7 linked regions of the Cricetulus griseus genome follow. The protein of the gene in region 6 interacts with the protein of the main gene of each other region in a pairwise test. Links are inferred from orthologs where the notes say so. Each region holds a gene or a part of one and is shown on either strand. Other genes may lie near its edges. The genes, in order: Rfc5, cyclin-dependent kinases regulatory subunit 1, protein N-terminal glutamine amidohydrolase, Ube2w, Ppih, Xiap and Ssx2ip.

The links.
Region 1: the proteins of Xiap (region 6) and Rfc5 interact in binary tests that used the Homo sapiens proteins (3 or more experiments, as listed by UniProt). The link is inferred for Cricetulus griseus from reciprocal best matches to the Homo sapiens genes XIAP and RFC5.
Region 2: the proteins of Xiap (region 6) and cyclin-dependent kinases regulatory subunit 1 interact in a two-hybrid assay, tested with the Homo sapiens proteins (3 studies listed by BioGRID and IntAct). The two-hybrid records come from large-scale screens. The link is inferred for Cricetulus griseus from reciprocal best matches to the Homo sapiens genes XIAP and CKS1B.
Region 3: the proteins of Xiap (region 6) and protein N-terminal glutamine amidohydrolase interact in binary tests that used the Homo sapiens proteins (3 or more experiments, as listed by UniProt). The two-hybrid records come from large-scale screens. The link is inferred for Cricetulus griseus from reciprocal best matches to the Homo sapiens genes XIAP and NTAQ1.
Region 4: the proteins of Xiap (region 6) and Ube2w interact in a two-hybrid assay, tested with the Homo sapiens proteins (2 studies listed by BioGRID and IntAct). The link is inferred for Cricetulus griseus from reciprocal best matches to the Homo sapiens genes XIAP and UBE2W.
Region 5: the proteins of Xiap (region 6) and Ppih interact in binary tests that used the Homo sapiens proteins (3 or more experiments, as listed by UniProt). The two-hybrid records come from large-scale screens. The link is inferred for Cricetulus griseus from reciprocal best matches to the Homo sapiens genes XIAP and PPIH.
Region 7: the proteins of Xiap (region 6) and Ssx2ip interact in binary tests that used the Homo sapiens proteins (3 or more experiments, as listed by UniProt). The two-hybrid records come from large-scale screens. The link is inferred for Cricetulus griseus from reciprocal best matches to the Homo sapiens genes XIAP and SSX2IP.

The regions. Positions count from the first base shown.
Region 1 is NC_048597.1:97,330,277-97,334,537, forward strand, and holds the start of Rfc5 (replication factor C subunit 5), read right to left. Parts: upstream 2,801-4,261; 5' UTR 2,708-2,800; coding exon 2,649-2,707; intron 1,562-2,648; coding exon 1,497-1,561; intron 1,034-1,496; coding exon 897-1,033; intron 417-896; exon of another isoform or gene 1-416. UniProt on the Homo sapiens protein: Subunit of the replication factor C (RFC) complex which acts during elongation of primed DNA templates by DNA polymerases delta and epsilon, and is necessary for ATP-dependent loading of proliferating cell nuclear antigen (PCNA) onto primed DNA.
Region 2 is NC_048596.1:133,402,906-133,405,155, reverse strand, and holds cyclin-dependent kinases regulatory subunit 1, read right to left. Parts: upstream 828-2,250; 5' UTR 790-827; coding exon 547-789; 3' UTR 501-546; downstream 1-500.
Region 3 is NC_048603.1:29,479,147-29,482,646, forward strand, and holds part of protein N-terminal glutamine amidohydrolase, read right to left. Parts: intron 2,471-3,500; coding exon 2,371-2,470; intron 995-2,370; coding exon 944-994; intron 1-943. UniProt on the Homo sapiens protein: Mediates the side-chain deamidation of N-terminal glutamine residues to glutamate, an important step in N-end rule pathway of protein degradation.
Region 4 is NC_048595.1:144,389,909-144,393,937, reverse strand, and holds the start of Ube2w (ubiquitin-conjugating enzyme E2 W), read right to left. Parts: upstream 2,801-4,029; 5' UTR 2,780-2,800; coding exon 2,678-2,779; intron 1-2,677. UniProt on the Homo sapiens protein: Accepts ubiquitin from the E1 complex and catalyzes its covalent attachment to other proteins.
Region 5 is NC_048595.1:32,848,508-32,852,467, reverse strand, and holds the start of Ppih (peptidyl-prolyl cis-trans isomerase H), read right to left. Parts: upstream 2,801-3,960; 5' UTR 2,732-2,800; coding exon 2,666-2,731; intron 2,507-2,665; coding exon 2,442-2,506; intron 2,124-2,441; coding exon 2,100-2,123; intron 1,842-2,099; coding exon 1,797-1,841; intron 749-1,796; coding exon 706-748; intron 1-705. UniProt on the Homo sapiens protein: PPIase that catalyzes the cis-trans isomerization of proline imidic peptide bonds in oligopeptides and may therefore assist protein folding. Participates in pre-mRNA splicing.
Region 6 is NC_048604.1:25,900,718-25,903,437, forward strand, and holds the end of Xiap (baculoviral IAP repeat-containing protein 4), read right to left. Parts: intron 720-2,720; coding exon 526-719; 3' UTR 501-525; downstream 1-500.
Region 7 is NW_023276806.1:12,733,447-12,736,946, forward strand, and holds part of Ssx2ip (afadin- and alpha-actinin-binding protein), read right to left. Parts: coding exon 3,423-3,500; intron 445-3,422; coding exon 330-444; intron 1-329. UniProt on the Homo sapiens protein: Belongs to an adhesion system, which plays a role in the organization of homotypic, interneuronal and heterotypic cell-cell adherens junctions (AJs).

The sequences.
Region 1 (4,261 bases), on a different chromosome or scaffold from region 6:
GAACACTGGACTACAAAGGGCTGAGCCTCATGTCTACTGTGTAAGTCAAATGCTTTTGAGTGAGGGTCTTTTGTCCTCAGATTGGTCTTGAACTCACATAGCCTAAAGATGACCACAACTAAGGATCAAACCCAGGACTTTGTGTATGGTAGTCTCTACCAACTGAGCTACATCCCTAGTCCCCCAAATGCTTTTCTTCCAACATAACATTCAGATTTTTGTAATCTAAGGGTATTAAGATTATCAGCCAAGGTCCCAACATCCACAGACTACATATCTCAGTATAGTAATCTAAGATGATCCAGATGAAGAAACTGACATTTTAAAAGTGTTTGTTGAGTCTACAGCAATGGTTCTCAATCTGTGGGTCATGACCCCTTTGGAGGGACATCTAATAGACCCTTTCACAGGTGTCACCTAAGACCATTGGAAAATACAAATATTTATATTACGATTCATAACTAGCAAAATTACAGTTATGAAGTAAAAATGAAAGTAATTTTATGTTTGGGGTCATCACAGCACAAGGAACTGTGTTAAAGGGTTACAGCATTAGGAAGGTTGAGAACCACAGTTCTAGAGAAGCTACAGGGCTATGCAGTATTAATTGGCACCCCTAAATCTAGGGGGGGTTAACAAGAGCTGTGGGCAGGTAGAACAGGTTGTGGGGAGGGCACGGCCTCTGATTTGAGCCCTGTAGGAAGTGGAGGTTGCCCGGTATTAACACCTTAGTGAGTCCAAATAACATCTCTATTTAACCCCTCCTGCCCCCACTCAGATCTCGATGGCCAAACCCAACCAGGACACAGAGGCCAGGAAGGTAAAGAAAACTAGTGGAATGAAAGCTAAGAGTCTGGAGGTCTGAGCTACTTGTGGAGTGAGAATGTCCCATTCACCTCCAAGACCATGGAGCCGAATTCTTTATCTTTGTACAGCTGCTTGGCACAGGCCAGGATGGTGGATGTCTTTCCTGTCCCTGGAGGGCCATAGAGAAGTAGGTGTGGCAGGCGGTCCTCACTGATGAACTTCTGAACTAAGGCGGGAGTAAGGAGACAATGTCAGCCTTGAACTCACAGAGATCCAACTGCCTCTGCCTCCCGAGTGCTGGGATTAAAGGTGTGCTCCACCAATGCCCGCCTGTGGTTGCTGCTCTTACAGGTTCCTAGCACCTACACACCTACACTGTAGCTTACAATTGCCTACAATGCCACTTCTAGAGGACCCAATACCCTCTTCTGGCCTCTAGAGGCACCAGGCACACATGATACACAGACATGTATGTGTAAACAAAACACCTAAACAAAAAATAGAATAAAAATAATTATCTTTAAAAATTTGTCCTCGGAGGTATTTTAGTGCAGTTATGGAAAAGGAACCAATACACTCCATCCTACAAAGTCCAGTCCTTCCTTTACACTGTCTCCTAGCAGAGACAGCATCAACACCAAATGTATCCAAGCCCTCCCACAAGGACAACAACCGACAGGGATACTCACTGGTACTCAGAATGTCCTGGTGAGAAATGAGATCGGCCAGGGTCTGTGGTCGGTACTTTTCAACCCTGAAATGGGATTCAACACAAATTACAGCAGCATATACAGATGCAAGCCATGTTCTGCCGCATGCAAAGAAACGCCTTCACATCCCAAGCAGGAGAGGAAGAGAAACCCTTCCCATCTCAATACAGCCAGTGACTCTCACAACCAGTGGTGGGTTCTGTCCCCCGGGAGACATCTGCCAGGCCATTAGCTGTAATAAGTGGGCAGAGGGCGTTAGTGGCATCTGGTGAGTAGAAGTCAGGAGTGGCTGAACATCCTACATTGGGCTCCACCCCCACAGTGGGCCCCAAGTCAACAGCACTGAGCTTCAACTTGGATAGGCATGTGACTTTGAAAAGAACTCATACTCAAATATCCACAAGTAAGTTATGATTTAGCCAGGCCATGCTACAGCATGGAGCAACCTTGAGTTGGAGAAGCCAGACTCAAAAGGTCACAGTCTGTGACTCCATTCCTGTGACTTTAATGTGTGGCCCACGACAATTCTTCCTCCTCGGACACAGACCAGAAAAGTAGTAAGAATGGCCAGACAGCTGCTGTAGGACCGTTCAGAATGCAAGTCCTGGGGCCCGATATGGCTCAGCAAGCAAAGGTACTTGACGCTAAGTCTGAGAACCTGGGATCGATCCCGGGGATCCAAGTTGCTGGGAGGGAAGAACCCGGTCCTGTAAGTTGTCCTCTGACCTCCACACGAGTGCGCTGCTACACTCCCCTCCCCCACAAATAAAAGGTAATATGAAAGGAAAAAAGAAAGCAAGCGCTGAATTCGGATACCTGAGGTCGGTCGAATGCAAGCCTACGCACTACCCCCAGTTTCTGAGCTTTTCTAAAGAAAGTCAGGATCGATCTCTTAGGGTCATCAAAGGGCATTGGCGATGCTCTAGGCATCAGAGGATGGCTAAGCTGCGCTCAGGCCTCGGTAGCATGACTGTTGGGTATGGGAGCGGGGGAGCGGGCGGCTGCAGGCAAGGCTGAGGCGCCAAGGCCGGGTGTCTGCAGTGCCCACGCGGGCCGCAGGCCGGGAGCGGGAAGGGGGTCGTAAAGCTTCTAGAAAGAAGGGCGGAAAGCAGGATGCGGGGCCGCTCCTACCAGGGCAAGTTCCGGGCCCGGGCCGCCGCGGGCCGCTGCTCCGGAGGCACCGCCGCCATGACTGACAGATGCTGCGGGCCCGGGGCACCGACCTGCCTTACTCAGAGTCCGCGCGCAAACCAATCCTCGCGAGGCTTCGCCTCCCGCTTCCGGCTTCCTGCCTCCGGCCGGCCTCTTCCCTGTTGCTAGGGCTCTAGTTGCTAGGTAACCCGAGGCGCCGGCCGGCTGCCCTGCCACAGCTGGCTGTTCCAGCCGGAGCGGGCTGTCTGAGCCACGCAGGAGGTCCAGGGAGACCGCGCGCCGCGCCGCAGCCGGTGCCACCGCGGGCCTCACCAGGACCACATCCTGCCAGCGCAAGGGCAAGCCACAATGGAGCAGCAGGTTCCACAGCCAGAAACACTTCCGCGGGTGTGGGTACAGGCAGTGCGCCCTGGGTTCCATAACCAGCAGCACACAAACACGCGTGCGCACAAATACACACACGAAAACACAGTTACATATACAAGCATACATCCATGCAAACATATGCACAACAGTCACATACATATACTCTCACATACACATAAACACATTTGCACGCACATACACATACACATATAGACATATACACGAAAATACAATCACATATACAAACATACATACACAGATGCATATATATATCCCCACATTCATATACATGTACACTTATGCACACACATAAACACGTGCAGTCACACATACAGAAGCACACACTCAGACATATATACACACAAATACACACAGCTACATATATACACACAAACATGAATACATATAACACATTCACATACATGTACACTCACATACACACACTCACACATAAACATACACATGAAGACATCTGTGTGTTTGTATATATACATATGTATATATACATATACATTTATTTTCCCCTACATCAAGAGGATTTCAGACCAATTTTATTTTCAACTTTAAAATTTATTCAGCACCAGACATGGTTGTGCACACCTTTAATCTCAGCACTTGGGAGGAAAGGAAGGTGGATCTCTGAATTCAAGGTCTACAGATTGAGTTCCAGGGCAGCCAGAGCTACATAGTGAGACCCTGTCTTGAAAAACAAATTCATTTTAATTAATTAATTAGTGTGTTTGTGCTACTTGGCCAAAGGTACCTCTCTTCACTGAGCCAACTCAACAGCCCAACTTTCACCTCTTTTGCTGCTCTGTCTTTTCTATAAGGAGTGTGTATAACATCCACAATAAAGCCTTTATTATCATTATTATCATTATCATTATTATTATTATTATTTGCTTGCTTTTATTTTAAGGCAGGGTCTCACTTTGTAGCCTCAACTGACCTGGAGTTTGTTAGTATTCAGGCATCTGTACTGTTCTGCCCTTGGGATTCTGACAGGATAGGCCCTCAGCTGCAGCCCCAAAGAGCACCAATTGTGCACATTCACTACATTCCCTTTAAAAAGGGCCCTGTCTACCTCCCCACCTCTGTCTGCCGCCCCAGTCTCTCTGCCTCCCTCCCTTTTCTCCTGATCCTGTCCCCGGAGGCCAGTCTCCCCCTCCCCTCCCCTTTCTCCCATTCCCTTTACTCTAACACACACACACACACACACACACACA
Region 2 (2,250 bases), on a different chromosome or scaffold from region 6:
GCCAATACCAAGCTGTTTTCAGAACTATAGCTCTATAATAGAGCTTTAAGTCAGGGATGGTGATACCTCCAGAAGTTCCTTTATTTTTTTATTTTTTTATATTATAAAAACTTCCTTTAATCAAGGCTTGTAACATGGAAGAGATTTGTCAGATAAAATGGAAAGTTTCCAATATATTGAAACATAAATCCGTAAGTCACCATAAATACAATACCCAATAGTAAAAACCACAACAGGAAATTCACACTATCCCTGTAACAGCCATGATCTGATTTTCACATGCTTCCCAGAGATGGCAAGTATGGATATGCCTACTGGATAAAGAGCACACCAGGTCTTTGAGGTCACACTCATCTGACAGGTTGTGGCATTGGTGGCTCAGCTCAAGAAGCAAAGCAGGTACCAACACAATCAAACAATGTTTTGAACAAACATCCTTTAAATGTCAAAGTGAGAAATAAGAAAGCAACATAATCATGCTATCAGAAGGTGTAGGAAGGAAGGACAGCTGTGTAAAGCTTGAGTTTGAAAGGTGGTTCAACAGCTTCATTTCTTTGGCTTCTTGGGTAGTGGCTGCCGGAAGAGTAAGATGTGAAGTTCTGGTTCATGGATCATCATATAATGGACCCATCCTTGACTCTGCTGAACGCCAAGATTTCTCCATTCAGATTCAGACATCAAATGCGTTTTAGGGACCAGCTTGGCTATGTCTTTGGGCAACATGACATGCCGGTACTCGAACTCCTCGTCATCGTATTTGTCCAAATAGTAAATCTGTTTGTGCGACATGACTGCTCAGCCCGAGGGCCCTCAGCCCCGCACCGCCGGCCTCCTGATGACTCCCAGAAGTTCCTTTATTGTACAGGTTGTTTGGCTATCCTGGGTTTTTTGTTTTTCCATATAAAGTTGAGTATTTTTCTTTCAAGGTCTGTGAAGAACTGTGCTGGGATTTTGATGGGGATTATGTTGAATCTGTAGATTGCTTTTGGCAAGATTGCCATTCTTACTGTGTTGATCTTACTTATCCAAGAGCATGGGAGGTCTTTCCATTTTCTGGTATCTTCTTTAATTTCTTTCTTTAAAGACTCAAAATTCTTATTATACAGGTCTTTCACTTGTTTGGTTAGAGTTAGCCCCCAAGATATTTTATGTTGTTTGTGGCTATGGTGAAGGGTGATGTTTCTCTGATTTCTTTCTCAGCCATATTCATCTATATATAGTAGGGCTACCTTTTTTTTGTTGTTGTTGTTAATCTTGTATCCTGCCACTTTGCTGAAGGTGTTTATCAGCGGTAGGAGTTCCCTGGTAGAATTTTTTGGGTCACTTATGTAAACTATTATATCATCTGCAAATAGTGAAAATTTGCCTTCTTCCTTTCCAATTTGTATCCCCTTGATCTCCTTTTGTTGTCTTATTGCTCTAGTAATGGGTTACCTCCAGCCAGCTCTGGGCAAATATGCTACAGAATGTTTGCAGAACTACAAAATCCCCTAAAATATATTTTTTTTTCTGAAATCTTCCCATCACCAAGCAAAGCATGACTATATACTGAATGAAGAAATGAGGACATGACTGCTCCAGATATGGTGGAGGACAAGATTTATTGTAGATATGAGGGAGACAACAGCCAGAGGCATCTGGAAGGGTCCATATAAACTGTGCCATGAGAGAAGGGGTGCAGGGGTAGGAGTGAGAGGAAGAGAAGAGTGGAGAAAGGAGGAGGCCAAGAGGGGAACCAAGAGACCAAGAGACTGCATGCTCAAAAAGGTTGAGATTATAGGGGGATCAGAGGCTGGGGGAGGAGAAACCCAGACCATGGGCTGAAGAGAGGTTGAGGCTAGGGGGCAGCATATGCCACTCAAGATGACTCTGTGACAGGTTATTTGTGAGTAGGGACTGAGAGAGACTGGTCACCAGAATCAGCTTTGATATGTTAAAGAGGCACCTCAGCCATTTGTCTGTGGTTTCTGTGAGATCTAACGTTCCAGCCTTTTGTGGGTGATAAAGGGTGATGGAATCTTTTCTATTACTGCTTCCTGCTGGAATGGCATCTGTGTTGGGGCCCAGGAAGGCTGGAATGATGGCCAAAGAATGAGAAGAGAGGAGTACAGGCTGGTGGGGAGGGGAGGGGGGACGACACATCTGTTTCCCCTCACTGCCCAGGTTCTGTGGGACCACCTGGGGCTGGGAAAGTGCAGGTCGCTTTAGAGCAGTCTGAGATGTTGAACCACCTGAGGCTAGCCACTTTAG
Region 3 (3,500 bases), on a different chromosome or scaffold from region 6:
CCTGCCTAGCTACTGGCTAATCAGCTTTTTATGACACCAATCACAGCAATACAGCTTCACACTGTGTACAGATAGCCCACAAGTCTACCAACCCTACAGTCTACCAACTACAGTCTACCAATCCTATAGCCTACCAACTACAGTCTACTAATCCTACAGCCTACCAACCCTACAGCCTACCAACTACAGTCTAAACTACAGTCTACCAATCCTACAGTCTACCAACTACATTCTCCAATCCTACAGCCTACCAATCCTACAGCCTACCAACTACAGTCTACCAACTACAATCTACCAACCCTACAGCCTACCAACTACAGTCTAAACTACAGTCTACCAATCCTACAGTCTACCAACTACAGTCTACCAACTACAGTCTACCAACTACAGTCTATTAACTACAGTCTACCAATCCTACAGTCTACCAACTACAGCCTACCAATCCTACAGTCTACCAATCCTACAGTCTACCAATCCTATGAGGAAGGCATGATGGGAGTGACTGTTCATGGCAGCAGGAATACGAGACAATTGTTCCTCACATGACAACAGTCTGGGAGAACACAGGCTATAACCACAAGTAGGTACAACCTTCAAGGCCCATTCCCACTGACACGCTTGTACCAGCCAGGCCTCGGGTCTCAGAGGCTCCACAACCTCACAGAATAGATTCACCAGCTAGGGACCAGGAATTCAGACACAGAAGCCCGTAGAGGACTTTTCACACACAAACCATTATAGATCCCAAAACAAAAGTTAGACAACTATATGTCCACAGAGCTTCTGCCACAGACAGAATAACATCCATTCTCAAAAGATCCTTTTACTAATGACTGTCATGGCCTTTCTCTAGAGTCCTTTCAACTCTGCTTCACCACAGCATACTGGTTACTCAGAGGCCACAAGGAACACTGCATCAGAGGCTCTTAGGTGGCCAGCTTACCCAGATCACAGGTCCATTCCCAGGTCTTGCCTGCTGTTTCCAAATAGGTACCTACAAAACAGAGGACATTCGTGAGTCTCATTCAAACCCGTCTAGATTCTTTATACCACCAATACACTAGTAAGTAATAAACTATTCCTTAGTGGACTGGGGAGATGGGACAGCAGATCTCACACACTGGCCGCTCCTGGAGAAGACCTAGGATTGCTCCCAGCACCCACATGGCAACTCACACACTGGCTGCTCCTGGAGAAGACAGAATGCTCCCAGCACCCACATGGTAGCTAATAGACATCTCTAACTCCAGGTCCAAGGGATCCAAGCCCTTCTTCTGGCCTCTGCAGGCACAGTGCACACAAGGTACACAGACCTGTATGTAGGCAAAGCACCTGTAAACATTTTAAAAAATTAGCCAGGCATAGTTGCACATGCCTTTAATCCCAACACTCAAAAGCAGAGGTAGGTGGTCCTCTGAGTTTGAAGCCAGTCAGGGATACATAGTGAGACCCAATTTCAGGATAAATAGATAAATTAAGTTAAATTCTGAAGTCAAAAACGTTTCTGTTTCTAAGCAATCAAGGTGAAAGAATAAAATCTAAACCCTACGCGCAGGCACCCTGCACAGTGAGAGTTCACAAGAACTGAAGATACTGCAGTGTTCTCCAGAGAGCAAGGGGCCTGCACCAGGAAGCAGAGGCCAGGCGGGGTCAGTCCTCAGTTACTCATGAGCCCTCTCTGCATCTCATCTTCTTCACGGATTAGGTGGAGAAAGTTAGCAGGTCACGGAGGCTCGTGCCTGAAATCCCAGCCTCAGCTATGTGATGACTGTGAAGCTAGTGGGCTGAGATACATGCGACCCGTCTCCAAAACAAAAGTAAAGTCAATAAAGTAAAACAGAGAAAGTCGTTTAGACCCTGCCTATTTCATAGAACTTCTAAGAGCCCCGAATGAGGCAACGTCCACAAAAGTGTTTGGAAATCCCAAAGGGCTACTTCTAATGCTCCCTGAAAGTTTACTCCAGCTCTATTCAAACTTCAGACACAAATCTTTACTTCAAATCAGAGTTATATGGCTTAATTATACAATTAAAAAAGCCCCAAGCTAGACACAGAGCATGCCTATAAACCCAGTACTCAGAGGGTCCCCACAAGTTTGTGCCCAGCGTGGTCTACACAATGGGTTCCAGGTCAGCCAAGGTCTACACTATGAGACTCTGTTGCAAAAAGCAAGTTGCTTGTGCATTCTACATAAACATGCCATTACATACTTCATTACCTACAAGCAAGGGACCAAATTCTCCTGAACCAAATCTAATGAAGAAAAAGAAAGCTGTTTGAAAGGCTGCTGTTACAAAGCACATTTGAGAACAGAATAGCTTCCAGACTGCGCTGAGCTTCTGATGTCACCGCCATCACTCACCAACTTACCATCTTCTTCTCATTTGATATGAAGACAGCGGAACACTCTTCCAAGGGATACTGGTCATGGGTTTTGATGTATTCACAGAGCTTCCAAATGTTCTCCTCGCTAAAATAAAATAATTGTTTAATCCATATCATTGGAAAGGACCTTAACCACCTCATCAGAGAGCTGGGTAACAGTGACTCTCCTCTAAGGCACAGTCAACAAGCTGCTAGCCAACCTGTACTGTGCACGCATCCAGACAGAGGACCACACCCACTGAAGACTATGACCTGTAAAAGAGTGTGCCAGGATTCCAGAAGCTGAGAAACCATTGGGATCCAAACTCAACACTAACAAGAAAAGCAGCTTTGTATTCTGTCTTCTCTAAGAACCGCTTGTCTCCTCTATAAAATGCACGTTTTCACGTACACCATAACCCTCCAGAAATCCCAATTAATAGAGAAATGTCACAGGACTTTTTTGTTTGGTTGTTTTGGTTATCAAGACAGGGTTTCTCTGTGTAACTGACCTAACTATGCTGGAACTCTCTCGGTAGACCAGGCTGGCCTTGAATTCAGAGATCTGCCTGCCTCTGCCTCTGGAATGTTGGGCTTAAAGGCGTGCACCACCACCGCCAAGCTCTTGACAGAATGTTTTAAATTAGATTTGATATAGAATTTAGTCCCTTAGTTGTAGCTGACAAACTATATGATGGCATCTTTATGCAGACTGCGTCCCCTCCTTCCCTCCCTCCCTCCCTCTCTTCCTTCCTTCCTCCCTTTTTGAGACAAATGTCTCATAATGTAGACCTTGGCTGACCTGGAACTCGATGTGTGGACCAAACTGGCCACAAACTTGTGGTGACCTTTTGAGTACTTGTGAACTACAGGCACGCTCCATGTGTGGTTTAGAGCCTTGTTAATTGCATAATTAGAGACAGACAGACATGAGAGACATACATACACACACTACATACATACATGCATGCATGTTTCCAAGCACTCAACGTCAAGGTGAAGGCGTGTGAAGCCCGCTCCTAAGCGCAGGCACCCTGCACAGTGAGAGTTCACCAGAACTGAAGATACTGCAGTGTTCTGCAGAGAGCAGGGGGCCTGCACCAGGAAGCAGAGGCCAGGCGGGGTCAGTCCTGTCC
Region 4 (4,029 bases), on a different chromosome or scaffold from region 6:
AGCAAAAAAGATAAAAAAACACATAAAAACAATCTGGACAGTGGTGGCACACACCTTTAGTCCCAGCACCTGTGAGGCAGAGGCAGGCAGACAGCTGAGTTAAGAGGACAGCCTGGCCTACAGAGTGAGTTCCAGAACAGCCAAACCAAAAAGATGATTGACTGATAGACAGACAGACAGACAGATAATTATAACCTCAGCTTTAAATTTCATATCCTCTAGTAAGAAACTGAAAGACCGCCCTAACTTGATTTTATTGCATATAAAAATTATTCCATTGCTATCAAGTGATCAAATCCCACATTACATGTGCACAGTATGGCTTGTTTTTAAAATACAGCTCCGACTGCAGCATAAGTAATCTCTTCTTCAGCAATAATAATAACCCCCTGTAGTAAGATATGGAAATCTTATCTAAAAATACTTGCTGAGTTAATGAACACCTTTGATTACTTACATTGTTGTGTTTGTTTTGAAAAGAGCTAATTCCTGCTGTGAAAATGGTCAGGAAATAAACTTTGTACAAAGATACAGAAATAAAAAGAAAACACACCAAAGTGTCCTTCAAAGAGTCTGCTACGGAGCTGGAGAGATAACTCAGTGGTTAAGAGCAAGAACAACTCTTGCAGAGGAGCCTGGTTTGGTTCCCAGCACCACACATCTGGCAACTGGAAAGCACCTGTTACAACTCTAGCTCCAGTCAATCAGAAATGGCCTACACAGACACCTGCATTCACATGCACACACCCACACCATAAAAATAAATCTTCCTCAAATGTTATTTCCCGAAAAAAATTATCAGATAATTTGAAATACATACAAAAGGCCAAGATTTAACCTTAATTGAAACAGAAAGGGTCAGTTCCCCATGCTAATCAGAAGACAAAGGAATGAAAGCCTGGTGCTAGAGTCTAAGGTAGTGATTGAGGCTCAGATCAGGCATAAAAGGCATTTTCCCCACTATTGAAGACACAGAGTGAATACCAAATATCCATCTCTCTTATATACAAACCTGCTTTTTCCAAATACTTGAAGTGTAGTAAAAGTTAACCAGCTCTCCTGCCAACGCCAAATACAATCCCAAGTGTGTGGATTTTAATCTTTATTTTTAGTCTTAAATCATGCCTGTTATCTTAAGACAGCTCATCTTCGAAAGGTCATAATAAACAATGTCTTAATACCGATAAAAATGTTAAAGCAATCATATAGCCCATCTGCTGTCCAACTGGTGCTCCACAGTTCCGTTTTTGGCCTCAGATGACGAAACTTCTCTAACGTCTCTGGGGAGAGTGTAAAGTATAACGTTTCCTGAAATTGTTCTTGTTTTTGCTGCACCATTTCGTGACATCTCTTCAACTAGAAATGTTACTTGCAGTTTTATTGTTCTGCAGGAGAAGCCAGAGGGACACGCAAAGGCAAAAGCAGAGTATTTTAAGGAAAGCAGGTTGAAAGACACAGTGAAAAGGGGGGAAAATGCGCAAGAATGAAAAACATTTCCAGCACAGAGAAGCGCCAACAACGGGATCTTGCTTATTCTTCTAGAAACAAAAGCCAAAAATTCTTCTAAGGAAAATGTGGTTTCTCTCTTTACTCAAGAGGGTGTAAAACTCCAAAAGGCGTTCCGCTGACTCTCTACACAAGAGTTCTACCCGCTCTCCTTATGTGCTTTAACACGCTAACCCTATCTGTACATTAAACGCCAGCTACAGATAATGCAATCTCTACAAACTACAACTGTAGTTGCCATCTTTGCCTGGGGAAAAAAAAAAAAGATTTTTTTTCTTGGATTTGGAAGGGGGAAAAAAGGAGTACATTAAGTTGGAAGGCAAGAAAACCACCATCAAGAGATTGATAGGGCACGGGTTAACAGGCACCTTCTACCAAACTAAGGTTTTAAAGGTCTGGGGAAGAAGGGCAAAGCCTTACCGAGTCCGCAAGGGTGGGGCATCCTAAGGGAAAAAAAATATATTAAGAGCGAGTTTCTCCAGAGGCCGAGGAGCAGGCCCACGAGCTCGCACCCAGGGTGGCACAGGACGCTGGGGACGCGGGCGAAGGGCGGCTTCGAAGGAGACGTGGGCTGCCGGGGAATGCCCCAGAGTGCGGGCTGACAGAAGGAGGCACCCACGGGGCACGGGATGAAGATCGAAGAAGAGCTAGCAAGGGCCGTGCGTTCCGAGGCTGCGCGTGGGAGGCCGGGCAAAGGCCGCGGAGGGCCGTGGGCAAGCGGCCGTCCTCGGCGAGGCGCTCCCCGGCTGCCCCGCGTTCTGCCAGTCTCGGGCCGCTCGGACCGCGGGCGACGGCGGCGGGCACAGCTGTTTCCACCCCGCCGGGGAGCGCAGGGGGAGGGGAGAGAGGAAAGCATCTCCCCCGTGGCCTGGGAGCCAAGCAGCGGCCGTCCTCGAGCGGGGGCGCGGAGCGGAGCCCCCACCGCGGAGCGCACGCCGAACTTCGCCCTTTCTTCCCCTCAGCCGCCTTTATGCCACAACTTCGCGGCCGCGACTGTCCGCGGCCACCGGCCGACACCCCCGCTCCGCTCGCCGACCGGTGATCCCCGACGCTCTGGGGTCAGGGAAGGCCACCGGGAGCCTGGGCCGCGGCCCCGGACGCCGCCCCCGCGCCGACGCTCGCCCCGTCTCGGCGGCCCCCACGCCCGCCCCGCTGCAGCAGCTCCGCTCACCTGCATTGACGCCATGATGAAACCATCCCCCCAAGGCCAGCGAGGCCAGAGACGCAGGGGGCGGAGCCGCCGTGCTCGCGTCACGCCGCGGGGGCCCAACATCCCGGGCACGGGGTGGAGTCGCCGATGGGAAGGGGCCGGCACGTCCGATTGGCTGTGGCGCGGGCGCCCGGGGGCGTGACGGGGCGGGGCGTGGTGGGGCGGGGCGGGGCGCCTTGGGTACCTCTCATCCCAGCCAGTTTACACGCTGGCCCACCCTCGCTACTGGGTGAGGCGCAGCTCAGGTTCGAACCGCAGCAGTACTCCCTAGATCATGAAGCTGTCTGGATGCGCGAATTTTTTGGTTGTTTTTATTTTCTTTTGGTCTCATTCTGTTTTCCTAGCTACAGGTGTAAGATTTGTAGTTTTTTAAATTTATTTTTTAATCCCCCTTTGTATGCCTTTTCTACACCTACAGCTCTTCTTCTGAGCCAGATAAAACTTCGCGGGGGGGGGGGAGGTGCTCTCTAGTCTTTGCAGATCCAGGAGGCTATTTCTAATTTGGGGGTTGGGGGGAGGAACAGAGAGTCACAAATTTCCTTATAGAACAGAATGAAAACTGAGAGCAGGGCAACGCTGTCATCTTAAAGGCAAGAGCAACTAGATTTTTTGTGCTGAAATGTAGTGGGAAGGGAAGGAGAAAGAATAATGTTTTCTTTTGTGTGAGATTTTCTAGCTTCCTTACCCAACCATCTAAATTGCAAACTCCATGTGTATCATAGTAGTCGTTGTTACATCAGTCTATTTGATTAGCGATTTGACTCTAGCCACAAATTCTCATATATTAGCTCACGTTGTGCCATGTCTACATTTCTCTTCAGCCAATTCTGTGGTGGGCAGTTTTGTGATCAGCCAACCTATGAATGAGTTTGGGCAGGAAACACTGAGCATACAGAATTTATTCTAGGCATGCACCAGTTCTGCCAACATTTATCAGAAGTCACATTTTTAAAGCTCTTCCAGAACCAAAGATGTCTTTTGGTTTATAAAAGAAAAAATGGAAGGCTAAAGCTTGCACCTCCTGTCCTATCTCTAAAAGAGTCAAGGAGGCTGGCATGTCGAGTAGATAGATGGCTTTTGCTTTACCCGAAAGTTTAAATCTTTCTTTTTATTGACTTGCCTTCTTTTTTAGACATTTCTCTACGATAGATATAAATATAATGGCAATGTAGAATATCACTCTTCACACTTAAGATAGATCACGATGTTCTCTGGGAACATCCGCAAGGAAATGTGTTCACAAAAGGAAAAAGATCTTTAAAATATGCAGTTATTCTATGGCATAATGTTAACACAGTTTATCTTTACCAAAG
Region 5 (3,960 bases), on a different chromosome or scaffold from region 6:
CCTTGGGCTACCTCAGCAAGCAGAGCAAACACCCTTTGAATTGCCTGCCTCTCCTGACCCCTTGCCACTAACTGGCTTGTGGTTATCAGCCAGGTGGTGGTGGCGCACGCCTTTAATCACAGCACTCGGGAAGCAGAGGCAGGCGGATCTTTTTGAGTTCGAGACCAACCTAGTCTTATGAGAGTTAGTTCCAGGCAAGCCTCCAAAACCACAGAAAAACCTTGTCTTGAGAAACAAAAAACAAAACAAAACAAAAACCAAAATAAAACAAAAAAACCCCTCAGCTTTCAAAAGGAAAAAAGACAGACCACAAAAACAAACAAAAAACTACAATTTTAGAGAGGGACACCAGAAGTGGAAGGAAAAATAGGGCATACAAGCAGTTGGCTCACTTCCTGTGGGGGAGGGGGGCTGCAGCTAATTTCAAAGTTTTCTGTGGTCAAAGAATGTGGTCTTAGATCATCTGTCTATAGGTAGACTAGCAAAGTCCAATTTTTGGTAACAAAAAAGCTCAGGTTTGGACAATGGGAGTTAATGATTCAAGTTTAGTATTGGTATATGTTCTAAGGGCACAGTCAGCAGTACCAGCAATTCTACAGTGCATCCCCTAGTCCATGCTCTCTCCATTTAACTTAGCTATTATTCTTAAATCTCAAGACTGGAGCCCTATAGGAAGAATAGCAAAGAAAAAACAGCAGTACTTACATTAACAAAATCTCCACCCTGAATCATGAAATCCTTTATGACCCTGAAACAGAGTAAAAACAAAACAAACAAAAAATTCCCGAGGGAAGGATTCAGTGGTTTGGTCACCAACATAGCAGCTTAGTAATTTTTTCTGAAGTACAATGTTTATCACCGTGGCTTAGAGACTGAGTCTTCACCCCTGGAGTTGAGCAAGATGAGGGATTACGAACCATAACTTGTTTTAAGCTCCAGGGGCATCTTTGTGTTGATCTAAGGTATATGAGTGAGCACCTGAACAACAGAAAAGGGCTGAAACCTGTCAGGAAGAAATAACATATTTACAAAAAAAAAAAAAAAAAAAAAAAAAAAAAAAAGTCAAGGGCTTAATGAAAATCTGGGGGGAAAGAAAGAACAACAGCAAATATATGTGAAATGGACTGCCACACACACACAGGGTAATGTAAGCTGTTATATACCCAGGCATAGTCCTTTCTTAGCCCCAGTTTCCTTCCTTAAAGAAGGCAGATTACACATACTACCTCACAAGGATGCTGGGAAGGATTAAAGACCATAATTCTAAAGCCCCTGATATGGATGACACAAAAATTTCAGGATTAAAGTGGAACAACTTCTGTCAAACCCTAACAAAAATTGGTAAACACAGAAAGCAAGGCATTCAAGAAGGTCAGGTTCCTGCAGATGACTGCCTGATAATAGTAATTATTACCAAAGCCTCTACCTGGAACCAGGGGGATGGTTCAGTGGGTAAAGTCCTTGTTAATGAGGCATGAGGACCTGAGTTCAGATCCCTAGAACCCACATAAAAGCTGGGTATAGAAGCCTATGGAACTGCACCTGCACCCAACTGATAGTGTTTTCCTTGCCATCATTTCTACATCTAGGATGACTTACGGTGCCTGTGGTGCTGAGTATTGAACCCAGGGTCTCAGGTATGCTGGGAAAATTCTCTACCACCAAGCTACATCCTCAGCCCTGGACATGACACTTTAAACAACAAACCTAATCTACCATAGGTGTACTCAGGTGTTCAGGATTGCCTGCACAGATACCAAGTGATGACTGCATTAACAGTTTGCCAAAAGCCTTACCTATGGAAGGTGCTTCCTTTGTATCCTATTGGAACACCATCTTTTCTGTAACCAAAAAGAAAGACTTGGAGTGATGACAAATAACCATGGGTCCTTTCCGTTTGGGACACACTGGAGGCTAAAAGGACTCTCAGAAAGATTTGGATAGAAGCAAGCTAAAGAACGCATCGATAAAGAAGACACCCTCTGAATATCATCTTCCACCACTCAAGACTTGCCCATGGTTCCCCAATACCCTCACCAAACCTCCAGGACACCCTTCAGGAGTAGGAGGAATAGAGGTCAAACACATCTGAGACTGACCTGAACTCTCCAGTGCAGAATTGCCTAAAAGGAAAGAAACAATGAACAGTTACCATGCCATCGCTGCCCGGAGCATCTCTAATATCGGGAGATGAGGGTACAAACAGTGGGGCCAGCAAGTCCACTAACTGGTCGGCCGGATGTCAGGGCATGCAGCCATGTAAACTAATATCACAAATTGACACAGGAACGGTCAAACCCGGTAGCTATTCGGCCAGTGCAATAATACACAGAGCACAGAGCACAAGGCAGTGGACGGATGGACAGAGGCAGACATTGCAAAGAGCGCCCCGAGGCCGGCTTCGGGCTCAGCCACGCTGATTCAGTGGAGCATCTCCTCACCTGAAGTTCTCTGCCGTCTTAGGCACCACGTCTGCAAACAGCTCGATCTTCATGCGACCAACCTCCTGCAAGTGACGGGAGACGCAAGAAGGCTCAGTCCACGACCGCAGCCCACGCAGCTCGGAAGCGCCCACCTCGGCCGCCCTGGCCCAGCCAGTCTCGGCTGCCTCCCTCACCCGTGTCCTGCCCAGCCGCGCAGGTCCGCCGGGCCTCCCGCACCTCACCTGGCCGCCGATGCTGACATCAAAGAAGACCACCGGATTGACTGGACTTGAATTTGCCACCGCCATGGCTCTGACCCGGAAGTAGAAGTCCAGTTTCCGGGGACCGGCCTTGCTGAATTCAGCCAAAGCACAGGGGCCGTGGAAACCGACCGGGGTTGGGCCCCGCCCCCGGAAGCGCGGCGCGGACCGCCGGGAAGGCGGACACTGGTGTTGTAGAGCGGGTCGGTTCTGAGGGAAGGCGGGGATGAGGGGAGAAGGCGCAGAAGCGAGGGAGTGCAGGCATCTTCGCCGAAGGCGGCGGGCTCCCTACTCGCGTGACTGTACTAGTGCAGTACAAATGAGTGACCGGCAGACAGCATTTGCTGAGCCGTCACACTGGGTGTCCCCTGCCCCCGAGGCGGCACCCACGAGGGGAGAACCCTCAGAATCACCCTCCGTGTTGTAAAATGTTACGTAGGCTGGCTCATTCGGGATCCTGGAAATGTGATTTCATTTCTGTCGCAAGCTTCCAACTCATTTCCCACAGAGTTGCAGTTTAAGAAACAACCTTTGTGCTTGTAAATCGTGTGTGGGGGATTTGCATATTTAACGTAAATCCAGCTGTGTATACGAAGGCCCGAATGCCATTTATTTGCCACCGCTGGTAGCGAAGACCTGAAAGTAGAGACCTCACACTACCTAGCCTCATCTCCTGCCTACCACTCTTTACCCTTTCTGGCTCGGTTGTGGAGACGTTAGATTGCTACGTCCTTTAAGGCCTTGATTCGAGTTTTGTCTCTTCTAAAATATTTTTTTTTCACCTTAAATGTTTTTGAGACAGTCTTGCTGCTTATCAAGGGCTGGCTTTGAGCTCAACGATATTCCTACCTCAGCGTCCCAAATGCTGGGATTACCTACATGGTTTGCCATATCCTTTTGGAACTGGCGTTGAACAGATGGTTCAGGAGGATCAGGGCATCCCAGCACCCATGCGACAAACTGGGTATCCTGCATGTTATTCTTTTGTTTAAAAAGAAGAAAAGAGAAATATTGAGACAGACATATTGACTATAAGTTTATTATAAGGCCCGGTAGAATGGGGAGACTAAGAAGAGGAACAGGGTAATGGCTGACCGCCATGGCCGGTCGCCATAGAGAGAGAGAGCGGGGAAACAGAGAAACGGGGAGAGAGAGACAGACAGAGCGTAAAGGTGCAGGGGCCTATCTTTTAAAGGGGTCCTCTGCACCTGCGTGCAGACTTCTTTCCCATGGAACCTTGGGCTGACCAGGGTATTGCCTGAGTGGATTCCACCAGG
Region 6 (2,720 bases):
AACCATTCATACAAGTATGTTTATAAATTTGAAAGAAAATGGACAGAATCCAAAACACAGACACAAACATCTACAAACCAATGTTTATCCTCCCACCAGTGTGGAACAGTGTATTCTCTGTTCACAATAAACAGAGCAAGTGAATGGGTAGATTAACTCAAATCTCCCTGCTTATACAGAACACTCCATTTGTTAAGCTTATCCAAAAGGAATGAAAAATGATAGTGATTAATTCACTTACACATAGAAATCAAGTCAGTGTACTACAAATACACAAGGTGAAAAGTTATAATATTAAATGCTTCTTTGTCTAAGGCTTTAATTGAGTAAAAAACTGGATAAACGATATAGCTAATAACCTGAAAGTTCCAGAAATCCAAAGTTTAGACAGTACCAGTGCTGTTAACATTTGTTTCCACTTGGCAGCAGATGCTAATGGAATGCAATGCTGATTACTTAAAGTTTGCTCACATCACACATTCAATTAGAGTAAGAAGAGTATAACATGCCTACTGTTGCTCTCAATTAAGACATAAAAATTTTTTGTTTGAAGGTAATGATTGTGTAGCACATGGGACATTTGTCAACTGCTTCAGCACACTGTTTACAAGTGACCAGATGTCCACAAGGAACAAAAACTACAGCAATATTTCTATCCATGCAGATTTTGCAAAGCTTCTCTTCTTGTAGGCGCCTCAGCTGCTCTTCCGTACTGATGTCTGCACAAAGAGAAAAACAACATATACTAGTTTGAGGGTTTGTTGTTTAAATTCATTCAAACACTGAGACCTCCTGTGTGCCAGACACTCAAGATTTGGGAGACACGAAAATGACTCACACATGGCACACATTCTTAAGTAGTTTGTATGCTAGTGGGAGAGGCTGTGAGCTGCAGCTAGAGAGGTAAGTACAAAGTATAAAGTAGTCAGTGCTGTAATAAAGTTACAGACAAAGGGCTCTGGGGCAAGAAGAACAAGTTTTCCTGTCCAGCTGGTTGGGAAAGGAACCATGAGGAGGAGGAGGACCATGGTGGAGCAACAATTTGCCAGGCAGAAAAGCAAGGATGAAGTAAAAGTCACAACATACCTGAAGAGCACTGATAATTCTAGATGTAAGGGCTAAAGAGAGAAAGAGGAACTAAAGTTGGGTTTGCTAATGTATCAAGGAGATTGTGATAATTACTGGAAACATAAACGGAGATGGAGGGTTTGCATTTTCAGCTACGTTTGAGATGTTGGCAGGGCATCCAAATAAAAACATGTTTGAGTATGAGTAGCATATATAGGACACTGAAGTAGCTGCATAGTTGAACTTTTGTCAAAACAGTTTGGTAAAAGTCTAACAAATATGCCACAAAACTGTAATTGTAGTCATATATAATAGCAACAAAATTAATAGTAATAGAGCATAAATACTGTGTGCTAGGCACTACAAATAATTACATATTTTAACTATCTTTGTAATCACTGTATACTAATGGTTTTGTGTAAACTTGTGTTTCTCCTTTGGTGTATGTGGAGGTAGGGTGGGAGATGTCAGCGATGTTGGATATGAAGTCCAGGGTATCGTATAGCATTCACTGTACCACATTCTTGCCTCTTACAGCAGTTTGTCAAAAACAAGTTTTCTTTAAAAAATAATTTATTGCATTTTATTTATATTTGTGTAGGCGTGTACATTACAGCACATATGTGAAAGCCAAAGGGCAACTTTTCAAGACTTGGTGCTCTCATTCCACCACCTAGGTTCCAGGATCAAACTCAATCAGGTCTTCAGGCTTGGAAGCAGGTGCCTTTACCCACTGAACAATTACACCATCCTCTAACTCTAAAGCTTCCGGTACTAGTCACACTGGCACGTGGGGACATTTTGTGTATGTATACACATTTATGGAAACATACAATGCATTTCCCTATGTAACTATGTAGCTCCTTTAAAAACAAGCCAGGTGTGGTAGTGTGGATCTCTGTGAGTTCCAGGCCAGCCTAGTCGACAGAGAGAGTTCCAGGACAGCCAGGACTACACAGAGAAAGCCTCTCTCGAAAAACTAAAAACCAACAACCAACCAAACAAGAAACTCAATAAAACCAAAATGAAACAAAAACAGGATCTCACTGTATAGCTCTGGTTGGCCCGGAACTCAGAGATCCGACTGCCTCTGCCACCTGAATGCTGGGATTAAAAATTTGTGCTAGCATGCCTGACACCATTCCTTTTTATGGCATTTAGTGTCCTAGAGGGAACAGTATTTACCAAACTTGTGTATATAAGTGTGCTTTCGTGTGTACATGAGGGGTAGAAACTTGTTAGTTATCTTTCTCAATTGCTCCTCTATATTATTTTTTGAGACAGAGTCTCTCTCTGACACTGGAATTCACTGATTGGCTACACTGGCTGGTCAGGAATCCCTGAGGATCTGCTTGTCTCTCTTTCTCATATACCCAGTGTTGGGGTTACAGGTTCACACCACATCTGGCTTTTAGGCTAGTCTGAAGATCCAAACTTAGGTCCTCATGTTTACAGAGCAATTTACCCATTTAGCTGCCTCCCCATGACAATAATCTTTAATGCTTAAAAGCCTATGTTTTCTTCCAACATAATTTAATGTATTTTCTTTTGCTGTTGATGTTTTCAACAGGTCTTACTATGGAGCCAGGCTAGTCTGAAACTAGTTATCCTACAGCCTCTCCCCCTGATTATGGAGATTATAAATGTGGATC
Region 7 (3,500 bases), on a different chromosome or scaffold from region 6:
CTGCAGCTCACTTCTGCTCAGGGATCAGCCTGCACACAGTGAGGCTGCAGCTCACCTCTGCACAGAGGTTCCCTGAACACAGTGAGGCTGCAGCTCACCTCTGCTCAGAGATCAGCCTGCACACAGTGAGGCTGCAGCTCACCTCTGCACAGAGGTTCCCTGCACACAGTGAGGCTGCAGCTCACCTCTGCTCAGAGAGATCAGCCTGCACACAGTGAGGCTGCAGCTCACCTCTGCTCAGAGATCAGCCTGCACACAGTGAGGCTGCACACAGCTCACCTCTGCACTGGGTGGGTGGGCACTCAGATTCAACAGCTTGTGACACTTACTTCCTGAGAAGGCACTGAAAAGTTTCACATTTTCTGAGTTCTGGTGGTCAAAGGTCGTCATGTTTAAAAACTGTTGCTTTAGCCAGCTGGCTCTTTCTTCTTCGAACGCCTTTCTCTAGGGTAACAAACAAACCAAGAACCATCAATGACTCACTGTCATTTCCCATAACTTCTCCAGCTGCTTCCTCTCTGGCCACCTGTACATTGCTTGTATGAAATAGTCACCTAGAAACTATATAAGACACTTGAGAAAGTTATATTGAAAAAAAAAATCTGGGGGCTGAAAAGATGGTGCAATGGTTAAGAGCACTTGTTGCTCTTACAGAGGACCTGGGTTCAATTCCCAACACTTACACGGTGGCTCACAACCATCAGTAACACCAGTTCCAGGGGATACAAGATCCTCTTCTGGCCTCTGAGGACACCAGGCACACACGGTGCACAGACATGTGCAGCAGAGACATACATTCAGGTAAAACACCCTCCTACACTATATCATTTTTAAATAATTTAAATAATAGCAAATCATAGATTTCACTTACTACACCAACAGAGTAGTAGCAGGATTTTGAACACAAAGAACATACAACCATGAGACTGCTATCAGAAAAATACCCTGCTTCATAAGTCAGTCGCCTGGAAACAGGCTTCTGACTACATCAGGCATGTCTTTCGTCCTCTAGCCATGCTACTGAGCCCCAAGAGGGCAGACACACAGATCATACCAAGTGACTGCTCTGCTGTCAGCTGATGACTCCTAAACCACATTTTCTCTCATCTGCCTGTCTGATCTGTCACTGTCACCTGTGTCTGCAAGTAGGCACACTCTCAGATAGCTGGAGGGACACACGGCAAGTTTGTGGCCTGAGGAAGACAACTACTGATGAAAGGGACTTTACAATTATGGACAAAATCAGTGTCAGCCCTTAAAATAACCAGGACTGAGTCTTTCATAAATGGGAGCGTAAAACCAAATATCACCAGGCAGCAGAGAAAACCAATGGCAGAAGAGGAAAAAGGGCCAAGATAATAAACTGACCGCTGATACTAATGTTTCAAGAGTTCTGAAAATACTGTCACATATATTACAAGACTCATAAATGCACAACAATAATAGTGTACAAAGAACAGGAAAATTACAAAATACTAAAACTGATCCAAAGAATAATGTAAGAGAATATCCAGAACTAAGATCCCAATGTCAGCCATGGACACACCTGGCAGCACGGAGAAGTCAAACATGGGAGACAAGCAGAAGAAACGGTCTCTAAAGAGTAGTCTACTGAAGACATTAGAACTAAAGAAATCCCATAAACTTCCACAGAAGGGCATAGGGGCAGGTGCCCCATGAAATTACCTACAAAGTAACACAGGCTATGTTGTCATCTAGCTTCTCCTCAGCAACAAAAACTAAATAATCCTTTCAGCTTCTGCTGATGCAATATAATATAGTTTTAGATATTTCAATATTCAGTTGTCACTATGCTGTGTTTCTTCTTAAAATGTGATATAAGATGGTGACACAGCCTTCCCAAGGAAAACAAGAGGACTAACATGAGCGGTAGAAACACAGCCATGGAGTCTGATGTGGCAGATTAGAGCACAAACACTAGAGAGCAATACGGCTTCTCCAGCAGGCAAAGTCTTACTGTATTTTCAGAGCAAAGACTGGCTCAGCCACAGGAGCCTTGCACGATGAGGCCCTGGATTCAACCCCCATCAGTTATGTGTTCAAATGCATTATTTGTTTATGAAATGAGTAATACCACATAATCATAGGATCAACATTTGTTTCTGGCTTTCAATTTTTAGGCCCCAACTTTCGATAAATCGCGCCATTTATAGGTATTTTATAACATAAGGCAGGATATACATAAGACAGCCCGTGGACAATAAAAACAATTTCATAAGGATGCAAAGAGAAGGAGCAAGCAAGTCAGGCGGGGAAAAGCTAACACCATGCTCGACATGACATGGTGGCACACGCCTTAATCACTCAAGCCAGTTCTGCACAGCAAGTTCTAGATCAGCACAGGCTGCATGGAGAGACTGCTCCAAAATCATCAAAATAAAACAAAAAAAAAAAAGTCCACTGGTCATTTTTTTTTTAAGAACTTTAACATACGGCATTTTAACCTTTTAAAAATGTTTTCCTTTTATGTGTCTGATGTATGTACACTACATGTGTACCTGGTGCCCATGGCCTCCTCCCCTGGCACTGGAGTTACAGATGGTGTGGGTGCTAGGAAGCCAGCCAGTCCTCTGTAAAAGCTGCGAGTACCACGCCTAGCTTCCAATAGACATTTTTTTTTTTAAAATCAGTGGTTGTTTCTAAGGGACGATACTGGAGATAAAGAGGACTCTGTGTCATTCCATAATATTTTGTATAGGTTGAGTTTTAAGTTTCAGTTTTTGAAAGGGCACTATGGAGGCAATGCATTGCTGACAGAATGCAAACTGTGGACATGTATGATGCAAAAATCCAAACCACTAACTTGTATACAATCCTCTACAAGGATTGGGATAAAGAATCTTTTACTGTGTTTTCTTTTCTGTTAACCAAGGATGCTGTTGGTACTATTTTCTGACAGCACATGATGCCCAAAAGGAACTGAGTATCTAACAGAGATCATCCATATGCTCAGCCTCTCCCTTCAATTTGCAGTTACTCGTCATGGAGCAGGCCCCCAGGCCTGAGCACAACTGACTCCATGATGGAAGTGCCACCCAGGCCATGGATCTCAGCATGTGGACAGCACCTCTAGCCAAAACCAAAACAAAGATCTAGTCCACCAAAGCTACAGTTCTTGGAAAGTCTCTAAATGTACTAGCCTTGCTTTCTGGCTTCTGTACTTCTGCCTCTGGCTAACTGTTCTTGTTAACTGAAGTATGTCAACCCAAGTTTTGGTTTTGTGCTTAAAAGCTCAGCCTGAGGATGGCTGAGATCCCAAACTAACAGTGTAGTCATTTCTGACCATTCTTCTCAGGGAGTAGGATGGCTAGTGTGATCCTTCAGATGAAGTGGATCCAAGGAGCATCCACCTGCACCCTCCCAGACACCTGTGCTCGGGGCTGCAGCACTGCAGAGCTCACCTCCAGCCCCAAGCGGATCGCAGCTTCTGTAAAGCTGCGTCTTTCTCTCTCAAAATTCTTTTTTTGCTCTTTAAAAAG